2 linked regions of the Saccharomyces cerevisiae S288C genome follow. The protein of the gene in region 1 interacts with the protein of each later gene in a pairwise test. Each region holds a gene or a part of one and is shown in the gene's direction. Other genes may lie near its edges.

Region 1 (8,294 bases):
AAGTGGAGAAGACAGGCACGCAGAAACGAACGTTTTGCAAGGAATGGATATGCTTCTGGAGCTTCTTCTTCCAGTCTATGCGAGATTGAATGAGAGCGGCTGGTTGCTATGGTTTGTCTTCCATGATGTGTACGAAGCTGTGAAAATGAGTACTAAGGAGTCAGTGCACACCAGGGTAATCAATTTCCCTGATATTTTGTCAACTCAACAAATGAGACAGGGTCCATCTCAGATCAGGACACCTCTGGTAATGCTTCTTATGTGAGGTGTCTTGGCCGAAATTTATATATATATATATATGTATCACTAAGCTCCTAATTAGACTGCCATGCGGCAGTCAACGTTACCTTTTTTGAAATGTAGAAAAATTTAGTTATTTTTTAGGATGTTCATAAATATATCTATATATGCCATTTTTAACATTATAAATTACGAACATACGTGAATGAGGTGATATGACTGGTAAAGAAGAAAAAAGGATAATAACAAACCAAACAAGATAACCTGTGCATTCTATTTTATAATTGGTAGCAGTTCTAAAGCAAAAAACTGAAAAAGTGCTTTAGTATGATGAGGCTTTCCTATCATGGAAATGTTGATCCATTAAGACGAACTATAAACGGCGTCAACTTTATCTTTGACAGCATTCAAAATGTCTTTTCTTTTCAATTTCTGAGCGGACGTAACAAAACCGTTTTGTGGAGTCCATTCGCCGTCAAAGAACACTATGCCTGCTAGTAATTCAATGCCAACCAAACCTTGGTCTTTACCTGTCTTCAAAAGATCAGAATAAACAGCTTTAATCAATTTTGCATCCTCCAAATAATTTTCGATATTAATTGAACTGTCTTTTTGTTCCATAATTCCCAACTTTTTAGCAAGCTTCGTTAATGGAGCATGATTTGGTACAATAATACCAACTGGCTTAGTCTTAGATTGGTCGGCATAAACACAAATGTTAGCAACATATTCGTTAGATCTGTAAACGGACTCTAATTTCTCGAGTGCGATATATTCACCGTTCATTGTTTTGACCAAGTTTTTCTTCCTGTCAATTATTTTCAAATGGCCATTTGCTTCCCATTCACCGATGTCACCGGTCTTGAACCAACCATCGCTTGTTAAAGCTTGAGAAGTTTCTTCCTCATTCTTATAATATTCAGGCGTGACATTGGCACCTGTGATCCAAACTTCACCTTGGTTGTTTTTAGCAAAATAACCTAATTCTTCAACATCAACTAGTTTGACGGTAACACAACCTGTTAGGTCACCAGCGACGCCGAGTTCAAAATTAGCAGGATCCAAGATGGTGGTACTAGCGCATGTCTCGGTTAAACCGTAACCAATAAGCATAGGGCAGATTAAATTTGTGATGAATTCCTGAGCATCCCGACTGATTGGAGAACCACCGTTTAACAAATATCTTAATTGGCCACCTGTGGCAGTTCTGATTTTTTTGAAAACCAAGTTTCCTAAGGCGCCGCCACCAGGGATGTGGAGACGTTGCATGTTCAACTTGGTATTATACGCGGTCCAGAAGATTTTCTTGGTGAGGAAGGGCAAATTATCAATTTGGTTTAAGATCCCTTTTCTCACTGTTTCCCAAACAGCGGCGACACCAACCATGATTGTGGGCTTGAATTCTTGCAAATCACCTTGACAATTTCTCACAGAGCTGCTAGTTAAAGTTTTTACGGTGGCATAACCAATGCAGGCCCCCCAATAAAAGGACAATAGTTCGAAAACCAATTCAAAAATATGAGCTAGTGGCAAAAAACAGATAACACGGTCGGTATTGCCCACAAACTTCAAAACATTCAAACTTGCACCACCAACACCTGCGACAACATTTGAATGTTTCAAGACAACACCCTTTGGCTCACCTGTAGAACCAGACGTATACATGATGCAACAAAGATCATCCTTGCCAGGTGGATGAACATCGATTTCGTTACAGGATTCTTTACCTAGCTTCAAGATGTCGTCAAAGCTAAAGGTCTTGATATCAGGTCTAACTTCTTTAATTCTGTTGATGGCATCATGAGCAGATTGATAGATCTTACCACTTTGCCTCCTGTCCTCAGAACTGATGGAATCGAAATGAATTATGTATTTTACGTCTTGAGCGGCTTGCACTGGTTTGATCAAGGATGGTAATAAAGAGTTATCGGTAAAAATGGCCTTAGACCCCGTTTGCACCAAAGAATGAATTAGCCCTTTCTCTCCCAAAGTATCGTAGGCAGTGACGACAGGAATACCTTGAGACTGCGCTCCTAAGAACATCTTCATCCACTTGTGAGAAGTGGCTGCGTAAAGATGTAATTTGTCATCATCATTAGGCTTTAATCCTATTTTCACCAACCCACGACCAATTTCATGCATGATATCGGTCAATTGGTCAAATGAATTATAATGATAATGCGATAGTTCATAATACATCCATTTCTTTTCCACTGAAGTCTCCTTGCCATCAACTTTTTTCATAACCGATTTGGATTCTTCATGAATTTCCTTAACATCCCTCCAACCCATAGCATTTGAATTTTTGTTCTTCTGAAAGCACTCTAGAACAAACTCATAAACAGTGGAACACTTTGTGTTAGGCGGTCTGACGAGCGGCTTCTCGCGGCATTGATAATTTCTTCTTGGAGCAGTTTCATGCTCATTGGCGGCTTTCCCAACTGGAACGGTATATTGAGCAACCATATTGTTGTCTTTTTTTGTCTTTTGTGTTTGTTCTAGTTTTTATTGTATCCTAACGAGTTTTTTAACAACAAGAACTTTCTATACTTACTAAATATACTACAATTGTCTCACGACAAGTGAGGGGTAAAAGGAAAAAAAGAGAGAAAAATAAGCGGTTAAAGCCTTTTACTTAAAGACAGCGAAGGAGATCTCCAAACATTTTTGTTGTAATATCGATAATACGATATCCGCGAAAGGAACCAAAAAAAGCAAAAAAAAAAAAAAAACGCGCGAGAACAGCCTATCTCTGCTGTCCCGTATGCACAGGGAAGTTCTCCTGATATGCGATGGGTGGGTGCCCCTGTGTCATTCGTATTATATGATGTATTCGTGCCTGTATCATGCATAAATATTCACATGGCGGAGATCATGTTCCTGACAGGGCGTGATCGACTTTACTATTGTCCTTGTCATTCCCTTATGGAAGAATATGACAGGGCTGCATCATCCATATTCTAAGTAATTCTCTTTGCCGCGCTAAGCATGGCTTCATCGCTTGTTAGAAGGCGCATTTGTTATAAAGTTCAGCCGGCTCTATCGGTCCGCTAGCTAGGTCTGTTTACTTTCCGCAGCGTAAGCAGCTGGCAAAGTGGATCGGTCTTACATCTACAACGCAGTGACGTTTCTGATACTTTGGTGACGTATTCTTTTCTCACCGCTACGTTTTCTTCGCCCGCTCCGTGCGGACCGAAAAAAGACCCTCTCCCCTTATAAATTTTGTCAGTATTATAGCAATTGCCTGCGGACTTTCACCGCGCTTAGATCAAGAGGGCATCATGAGGCTACCTACAATTGACATACTAAGTCAAGAAAAATAATAGTGTATCGAATACGCGTGGTAGCTACATTAAATACTAAAGTATGGTTTTTTTTTTTAAGTAGGTTTACTCTTCATATTCTTCATTTTCATTTTTCCTTTTCTTCCCGTTCTTCATTTTTATTCCTAGAAAAAAAAATAAATATGTCTATCGTTAACCTAAACATAAACAAAGTTTAGCCCGCTTATTTAAATGATGCCCAGTACTTTTTTTCAAAACTCATATAATTATATATATCAAGAATGCTTTCCAACCACCGCTTGTATTAAGGTGTAGAAAGGTGGTTTTTGTATTCAAAAAGAGTACAAGCCCATTATAGCTAACTTAACAGTCCACCCTACTATATCCCACGCATATCTGGTTTTAACTTGTGGCGGGCGATATGGAACGAATTTTTCAAAGTTAACCATAGAAAAAAGCATGTGATCAAGGCAGAGTGAACGAGGGAAAAAGAAAGTGTGGAGAAGGCCACCTTTTGAAAAGTTTACCAATCGATCGGTCTCTCAGCACTTTCTACATTTAATCTCTTTATAGTGAACATCGCTGGCTCATGCTGGTTCCCATGCATAACTCACCCACGGCCGCCAACGGCCGCTTATCACTTACTGTCGCCAGCTCCGGTCTTAGAAAGGGTAAAAAAAACCGGGTGTATACTATACACTCATACATCCGCTCACCCGTTTCCAGTAGTGAATTTTCATTTTCTGTACGAAGGCAATATAAGCTGACGATCCGCATAAAGCAGAAGACTCATTTGTAATGCAGAATATCCGTACAATAAAGGAATTTATTGGTCTTATATATTCTACGTGGGAGCTCGAAAAGCATTTCTGGTTCTATTTAGTAACCAATTATTTTCACTTTGCTCAGAATAGTTCTGCATAGCTATAGAAAGAAAGTTAACACAAAGTACGGAAAGATTGAGTAAATATGAAACTCGGAAGCAAACAGGTAAAAATTATATCCTTGTTGCTGCTAGACACAGTGTTCTTCGGGATCGAGATAACTACCGGGTACTTGTCTCACTCTTTGGCTCTAATCGCGGACTCATTCCATATGCTAAACGATATAATTTCTCTTGTGGTTGCACTTTGGGCCGTAAATGTTGCCAAAAACAGAAATCCGGATTCAACGTACACTTATGGTTGGAAAAGGGCGGAGATTTTGGGTGCTCTGATTAACGCCGTCTTTTTGATTGCCTTATGTGTCTCAATTTTGATAGAAGCGCTACAAAGAATTATTGCTCCCCCCGTGATTGAAAATCCTAAGTTTGTGTTGTATGTGGGTGTCGCAGGGTTGATATCGAACACCGTTGGACTTTTCTTATTTCACGACAATGATCAAGAGCATGGACATGGACACGGACATTCCCATGGCGGTATCTTTGCCGACCATGAGATGCATATGCCATCATCCCACACACATACACATGCCCATGTTGATGGAATAGAGAATACTACACCAATGGATAGTACGGATAACATTAGTGAGATTATGCCTAATGCTATAGTAGATAGTTTTATGAACGAAAATACTAGATTATTGACACCGGAAAATGCATCCAAGACGCCATCATACTCAACGTCAAGCCATACGATTGCCAGCGGCGGAAATTACACAGAACACAACAAGCGCAAGAGATCTTTAAATATGCATGGTGTGTTTCTTCACGTTTTGGGCGATGCTCTTGGCAACATCGGCGTTATGTTGTCTGCATTTTTCATTTGGAAGACCGACTATTCTTGGAAGTATTATACAGATCCGCTTGTCTCATTGATAATTACCGGTATAATTTTTTCCTCTGCGCTTCCTCTATCGTGCAAGGCTTCCAAAATATTGTTACAAGCGACACCTTCCACTTTATCCGGCGATCAAGTAGAAGGTGATCTTTTGAAAATACCAGGAATAATAGCTATTCATGATTTCCATATTTGGAATTTAACAGAGTCTATTTTTATTGCATCTTTGCATATTCAACTAGATATCAGCCCGGAACAATTTACTGACCTGGCCAAAATAGTTAGATCAAAACTTCACCGCTATGGCATTCACTCCGCTACTTTGCAACCTGAATTTATTACCAGAGAGGTTACTTCAACCGAAAGAGCCGGAGACTCCCAAGGTGATCATCTACAAAATGACCCGCTTTCATTAAGGCCAAAGACATATGGTACTGGCATTTCAGGTTCCACTTGTCTTATCGACGACGCTGCCAACTGCAACACAGCTGATTGCTTAGAGGATCATTAAAAGGACTTTATAACGAAAAAGCGTGAAGAATTAAATACTTTTAAAAATCGTTATACGGTACATATACATACACACACACACATATATATAGTCGTCTATAATGTTTTTATACAATGTTTATCATAAATTTTGTTACAGTAAGAAGTATAGGAGATAATATAAAAAAAGAGGAAAAGCGAAAACAGGTGATAATAATGATGATCATAATAATAATATAATAGCAATAGTCTTGCAAAACAACAACTTGAGGAAGGAAAATAGTAATAATGGTGTTTAGCTTTTTTTAGATTACTCCAGCTTCTAAAAAAGAGTACAATACTTAGCACAATAATGCTGTTATCTTTTTTCATTTAATTAAAAAGACCAGTTGTTAAGAAATAATAAAAAAAAACTCCTTTGTTTAGAATTCAACAAATTAGAAGAAAAAGAACCTAGTTATTGTTCTAAAACCTTTGCCCACTGAACTTTTTTGTAGTCCTTCGTACTCTGTAGTTCATTACATTGCGTCAGCTCATCGCGCCTTCCTGACTGAAATTCGTAACCTCTTATTACTGCCGCGTCGGGAAGGTCGTCTTCATTGTCTTCTTCATTATCTTCATCTTCGCCAAAATTACTAGCTTGCCCATATATTTGGTCTTTAAGCTTCTTGTATTTCTCCTTAATTGAAGAGTTTACTGGAATTGTGAGCTTCTCCCAAATACTAGAAATTGCTGGTAATTTGTTTTCTTCATTGCTCAAAGTAGAATTTATTTCGGTGGCAAAGATGGTAGCGTCATTTAATGAGCCTCGCGACGAACTGACTATGAGATTCAGAGATTTGGCTGGTACTGTTAGAATTGATTTTTTGGGCTTCAATAGACGGTGAGAGGGTTCGTACCTTGTTGGCTTGAAGGTCGATCTGTTTACTGGAGATAACCTTTTTTTGAGTTTAGGCAATAAAAGTGGCACATCACTGTTGGATTCCAGTGGGCTCATCGGAAACGAAGAATGAATCATTCGGTGGAGCTCCAGTGCTTCTTTATTAACAAGCGGCTTACAGTTCCAGACAAAAGAATCAACGCCAAAAGGATCTAAAGAATCAATCTTTTCAACATCAGGCGATGTCGAGTTTATCGAAGATATATCACTCAATGGACTAACTAATTCATGTTCTGAAAAGCAGTCGTTATCAAAACTCAATCCAGGACTGACAATATTCCGGTAATCATTATATCCTTCGGTCATAAATGGATTGGTGATTTCACCTTGATTTTTTTTTATTGATACGCTAAGAGTTTGGGCTTTGACATTCTTTGAACTTGTCTTAAATTTGGCTTGGTATAAACGAAACCGTTTGGAGGGCGTAGTGTCTTCTGCTATAAAGCCTGATGAATATTTACATTTTTTACTTGGTGTACTGGGTATTACAAGCCCAATTTTTTTTTTTGATTTCGGTGTTCGCAACAAAAGTGTGTCTGAAGAATGCATTTCATCCATGTTTTTGAAATTTTTTTTTTCTTAATTTTATATTTCTCTTGTTTAACTAATCAAACATATTTACAGAACAACTTATCACCTAAACGCGCCTAAGTTCCAAATATAGCTGAAGTGTGGAAGGCACAAAGAAATGTTGCGTTTAAATAATACTTCGCTTGATTTTCCTCGTAGAGTGACAAAATTGATCCATTTTAAATTAACAAGAATGTTACCGCTTTAAAACTAAACTGTAAACAGTATCGAATGACATTTACGGTAACGGGCTTAAAATTCAAGATTTTCCTATCGAAATGGGCATGCATCTGTCGTTTACCTAAGCAAGGCTATGTATCGTTACACAACGTATTTAGTGTGTTGTGAGCTCTCTTGTTTACCAATTTGCACTAAGAGATATTCGCAGCTGAAAAAAAAAAGTTTAAACCCGATTAGAATAGCCATGGGATTTTCCATGCATTACTGCTGTCTATAACGGCGTGACCAGTTTAGCATAAATCCTTTGTCCGTAGTTTCTTTGAATCGTTCTGTCATACTGTTTTGTTTTTAAGACTGAGGCTGTCAAACTTTAATCTCAAAATCGGCCTGAAATCTTGAAAAAGCGGGATTGTTTTCTTTTTTTTTTTGCATATTCCCGTGGTTCGCATTTCCAAAAAGGGATTTGGTGCCTAGATATTTCCTTGTCTTCCCCTTTCGGATATTTACAAAACTCGAATATGTTATTTACTTTTATCCTAATTGGGCGATGTATGGATTGGACGAAAGTAGAAAGGTATAACTTGCCCAAAGGGTGGGCTAGCTGAGAGTTTTATGTGTCGAATTACGATCTCAAAAAACAGAGTAACGCAAAAAACCCCTACCCAAGAAAATGCTTCTGAATCTTAAAAGGACACGTCTTTTAAGAAGAGCTCGCAGTAGAGTAAGTTGTTATCTAAACTAATTACTGCCGTGGAATCGCCTTACTTTAAGGCCTGCGTAGTAACTCAATGCATTCTCTTGATGTTTATCCCC
Region 2 (4,641 bases), on another chromosome or scaffold:
TTTCAATAGGAGCTATAGGATCTTTTTCAGCGCCAAATATTATAATTTTCTGTTTCATATCCGTTTGCGTCAATACACCATTGAATTTAACCCAATCAACAGTTTCCCATCCTAGTAAATAACCTATGATGGTTCTACTTTTGTTGCTTATGTTGTTTTTAAATTGCCAGAACTTCCTGTATTTCAACTTGACATCATCACCTTGTTGATAAAAATACTGCTTGATGCCGGAACTTTGTAGACCTTTTACCTGATCGAATTTGTTTCTATAAACGTCAAATAGCCATGGCAATTTAAACACACCATAGAGAGCCCACTGGATAATATGTTTATCCTTAGAAAGCTGCTCGATATGTGCTTTGGGGGGCGTCAACAAAACTAGCGTTTGTACCGCTTTTGTATCAGCCATGTGCTGCTCGTAAAGATGACATGCCAGAAAACAACCCATAGAATGCCCTACAAGCACTATCTTATGACCGTTAAATGGATTTACGTTATCATTATTCGGCACCGCTGTAGACCATTTTCTTAAGACGTCACATACAAGAACGAAAATAAGTTCCACCACTTTCAGCATGGGGTAGTCGCTCCATTCTGAACTATGACCAAAGCCGGGCAGATCTAACGTCAAAAATGCCTTTTGATCAGAGTCCACAAGCTCGAGTAAGGGTTCAAATTGTTCTAAGTTGCCAGCCAACCCAGGCACGAAGACGAAAACAGTATCACCCCGTATCCCTTTATCGCTCAAGTTGTGACACGTCCTTATTCTTGAATTTCGATCCGATAGTTGTACATTAAAAAACTCCTCATGTTCTGCGATAAACTTCAACCTAAAGTCCAAATCTACCTCTGGTTTGCGAATGTAAGCTACCAAATCAGCTGCATTTTCTGCATTTTGAACAATCTCTTCTAGCGTCTTTCCAGAAAGGGGCTCACAGGACCAACTTTTTGTTGCTTCTGCACGTTCTGCCATATTCATTACCAAGAGAAAAAGTTCTCGGTTTAAGGCTTTCTTCTAACGTTGAGTTACGATCCAAATGCGACTGTACCATCTTGGTAGTTCTTTATTAATGAACCCTTTAAAATTGCCGGGTTAAAAGAATGGCGCGTCCTCTTGAAACTTTTCGAAGAAAACAACGTAACTGATGGTTAAAATTTGCATAAAGAAGGTCAGGCCTCGTCTGCGGACAACAACACTATCAATATCCAGCGTGCAATTATGTCTGTGCACCACAAAAAGAAGCTAATGCCCAAATCGGCATTGCTGATTAGAAAATACCAAAAGGGAATCAGATCATCATTCATTGGGCTCATCATAGTGTTATCCTTTTTATTTTTCATGAGTGGCTCAAGGTCCCCAGAGGTACCAATAGCTCAGGGCACCAGTGTCAGTCGTGTAGCCAGTAAGGATTATTTGATGCCGTTTACTGACAAGTCACAAGGAGTAATCCATCCCGTGGACGATGGAAAGAAGGAAAAGGGTGTTATGGTCACATTGGCCAGGAATTCAGATTTATGGAACTTGGTAAAATCTATTAGACATGTTGAAGACAGGTTCAATAACAGATATCACTACGATTGGGTGTTCTTGAATGACCAACCATTTAGTGATGAGTTTAAACGTGTTACCAGTGCATTGGTTTCAGGCAAGGCAAAATATGGGACAATCCCAAAGGACCATTGGTCCATTCCATCTTGGATCGATACTGAAAAATTCGATGAGAAAAGGCTTGCAATGGGAAAATTGGATATTCCATATGGTAGTTCCGTGCCTTACCGTCACATGTGCCGTTTCCAGTCAGGGTTCATATGGAGACACCCACTACTGGAGGAGTACGAATGGTTTTGGAGAGTGGATACCGATATCACTTTATTCTGTGATATTCAGTATGACATATTCAAGTTTTTAAAAGTAAATAACAAGAAATATGGATTCATTCTTTCGGTAAGTGAATATGAGCGCACAATCCCAACCTTGTGGGAAACGACAAAGAAATTCATCAAGAAAAATCCTAAATTCTTACACAAAAATAACCTCATGAAATTCATTTCGAATGATGATGGTGACACTTATAATATGTGTCATTTCTGGACCAACTTCGAAATCGGCTCTTTAGACTTCTTCAGGTCCGATGCATACAGAGAATACTTTGATTACTTAGACAGTTCTGGTGGATTCTTCTACGAAAGATGGGGGGATGCGCCAGTGCACTCCATCGCTGCCTCTTTGTTCTTGGACAAGTCAGAAATCCATTTCTTTGACGGTCTTGGATTCCATCATCCAGATTTCACCTCTTGTCCTATCGAACAGAAGATTAGACTACAAAACAAGTGTATCTGCGAACCTAGCAAGGACGTCACCTGGACTCCTGACTACTTCTGTACTAGAAAGTACTTTTCAGCAGGAAATTACAAGCTTCCACCAGGAATTTAAAAACCAAACTACAAATAGCGCCTGCTCCGTCAAAACAGGTGCTAAAACGTCAACATGTATCTATCTATATACACATAATTCAATGTAGTAGCCACCTCACTTTATTCTAGTGCCTTCTTGGGTTCAAAAATGGGTGCGGTGCGGCCGGAGATGAAGAGAGAAAAGCAAAATTGTATCTAAACCAGCCTACAAAAACACAAACTTGATATTATAAAGAATCAAGCATCTTACTGAACTTTTGTCCTCTACAGAAAAGCGAAAAAACTCTAAGAATAGAGAACTAGAGTGGTGTTCATATTTCTAGTCACCATGGCGTTTGAGGATTATTTTTCTTTCCAGATATTCTTCATTTTCTTAAGGGAATCCTTAGAAATTGTTGTCATTGTTTCTATCCTGTTGACGATCGTCAAACAAGGTCTGTCTGTTGAGGACGACAGCCCGTTTGAAGGAAGTTCCTCTTCTGCTGGTCTTCCAAGTCCAAATACGAACACAAACGCAGATTCGACCACTGCCTTCTTACAAGCAGGGCCTTCAGACGGTAATGCTATTGGAACGTCCGCTACGGCTGCTAATAATAAATCGAGGCCGCTAAATGTGGAGGAAGAAGAAGAAATTTACGAGTACTCTAATGAGCTTAGAGACCAGGACCGCGAGTCCGATGAACATACGGCTGACAACGTTAAGCTATATCAGAAATTAAAAATACAAATTCTAGCGGGCGGCGCATTTGGTTTGTTGCTGTGTATGTTAATCGGGGGTGCGTTTGTTAGTATCTTTTATCATATTGGAACCGACTTATGGACACTGAGTGAACATTATTATGAAGGTGTCTTAAGTCTTGTCGCGTCCGTTATTATTTCTGTCATGGGGTTGTTTTTTTTAAGAATGGGGAAGTTAAGAGAGAAGTTCAGAGTGAAATTAGCTTCTATCATTTATTCAAAGGACAATAATTTGCTGGGAAACAAAACCCAAAAAGGTGTGAAATTCAGTGAAAAGTACTCCTTCTTCATATTACCATTTATAACGACTTTGAGAGAAGGGTTAGAAGCTGTTGTATTCATTGGAGGTATCGGTATTGACCAACCACTATCCTCGATTCCCCTCTCTATGGTCCTTGCTACTGCAATCAGTACGGTGTTCGGTATTTTTTTCTTCAGGTACTCAAGTTCTCTTTCACTTAAGATATGCCTTGTAGTCGCCACCTGCTTCCTCTACTTGATCGCGGCTGGTTTGTTTTCCAAAGGTGTATGGCAACTTGAATTGCAAGACTACGTCAACAAATGTAACGGTCAAGACATGAGTGAAGTAGGAAATGGACCCGGTTCGTACGACATATCTCGTTCTGTTTGGCATGTTAATTGTTGCAATGGTGAAAAAGATGGAGGTTGGATGATTTTTACTGCCATTTTTGGTTGGACGAATAGTGCTACCGTCGGCTCTGTAATTAGCTACAACGCCTACTGGTTGGTATTAATATGCGCTTTGAAACTGCTAATGATAGAAGAAAAATACGGATATATCCCATATCTACCTATTAGCTGGCAAAAGAAACGTATTATGAAAAGATTAAGCATTGCCAAGGCATCGCTCGATCTCAAACATCATACTTCTGAACTCAACTCTAGCACATCAGAGCCAGACAGTCAAAGACGGTCCAAAGATAGTTCTGTGCCCCTAATAATTGATAGCAGTGGTTCAGCAAATTGAGAACATAACAAACACACGTAATAATTTTAAGCTTCTTTTCATACATTTTACAGTAAATACTATGTACATATATATTCGTCATTAAAAATAGCTAGAAAAAGGCATGCTATAAAGACTAAATGAGTGCTCCTTTGATTTTAGATGCCAACAAAAGGTAATTCATGCCAATGTCTCTATGACGGCCACTATGTCACCAGAATCAACCATATCACCATTGCCATGGCAAATCTTGATAATCTTACCCGATTTAGGAGCGGATATAATCATTTCCGCTTTCATGGCTTCAATAATTAGTAGCCCTTGACCTGCTTCAATAACATCTCCAACAGATGCTATGGATTTCCAAAAACGCCCAGAATACTCAGAATATACAATTTCTGCACCTTCTGGGAAGTCTTCTTCCTCGTCAGGTTTGACTGTGACACTTTCTTTTAGTTCAGAGTTTGCATTTTGAATCAATTTGGCAAATTCCTCTGCTCTTTCACCAAGCTGGCCCTCCT

Evidence for each region. The genes of interacting proteins can lie anywhere in the genome.
Region 2: the proteins of COT1 (region 1) and FTH1 interact in binary tests that used the Saccharomyces cerevisiae proteins (3 or more experiments, as listed by UniProt).

The regions. Positions count from the first base shown.
Region 1 is NC_001147.6:903,755-912,048, reverse strand, and holds COT1 (metal cation transporter COT1), read left to right. Parts: upstream 1-4,493; coding exon 4,494-5,813; downstream 5,814-8,294. Other genes in the region: long-chain fatty acid-CoA ligase FAA1, read right to left, coding at 604-2,706; YOR316C-A (uncharacterized protein), read left to right, coding at 4,114-4,323; SFG1 (Sfg1p), read right to left, coding at 6,249-7,289. UniProt on the Saccharomyces cerevisiae protein: Vacuolar transporter that regulates zinc homeostasis by mediating zinc transport and storage into the vacuole. Plays a role in resistance to zinc shock resulting from sudden influx of zinc into cytoplasm.
Region 2 is NC_001134.8:632,403-637,043, forward strand, and holds FTH1 (Fth1p), read left to right. Parts: upstream 1-2,743; coding exon 2,744-4,141; downstream 4,142-4,641. Other genes in the region: LDH1 (triacylglycerol lipase), read right to left, coding at 1-979; mannosyltransferase KTR3, read left to right, coding at 1,220-2,434; DUR12 (bifunctional urea carboxylase/allophanate hydrolase), read right to left, coding at 4,301-4,641. UniProt on the Saccharomyces cerevisiae protein: High affinity iron transporter probably involved in transport of intravacuolar stores of iron.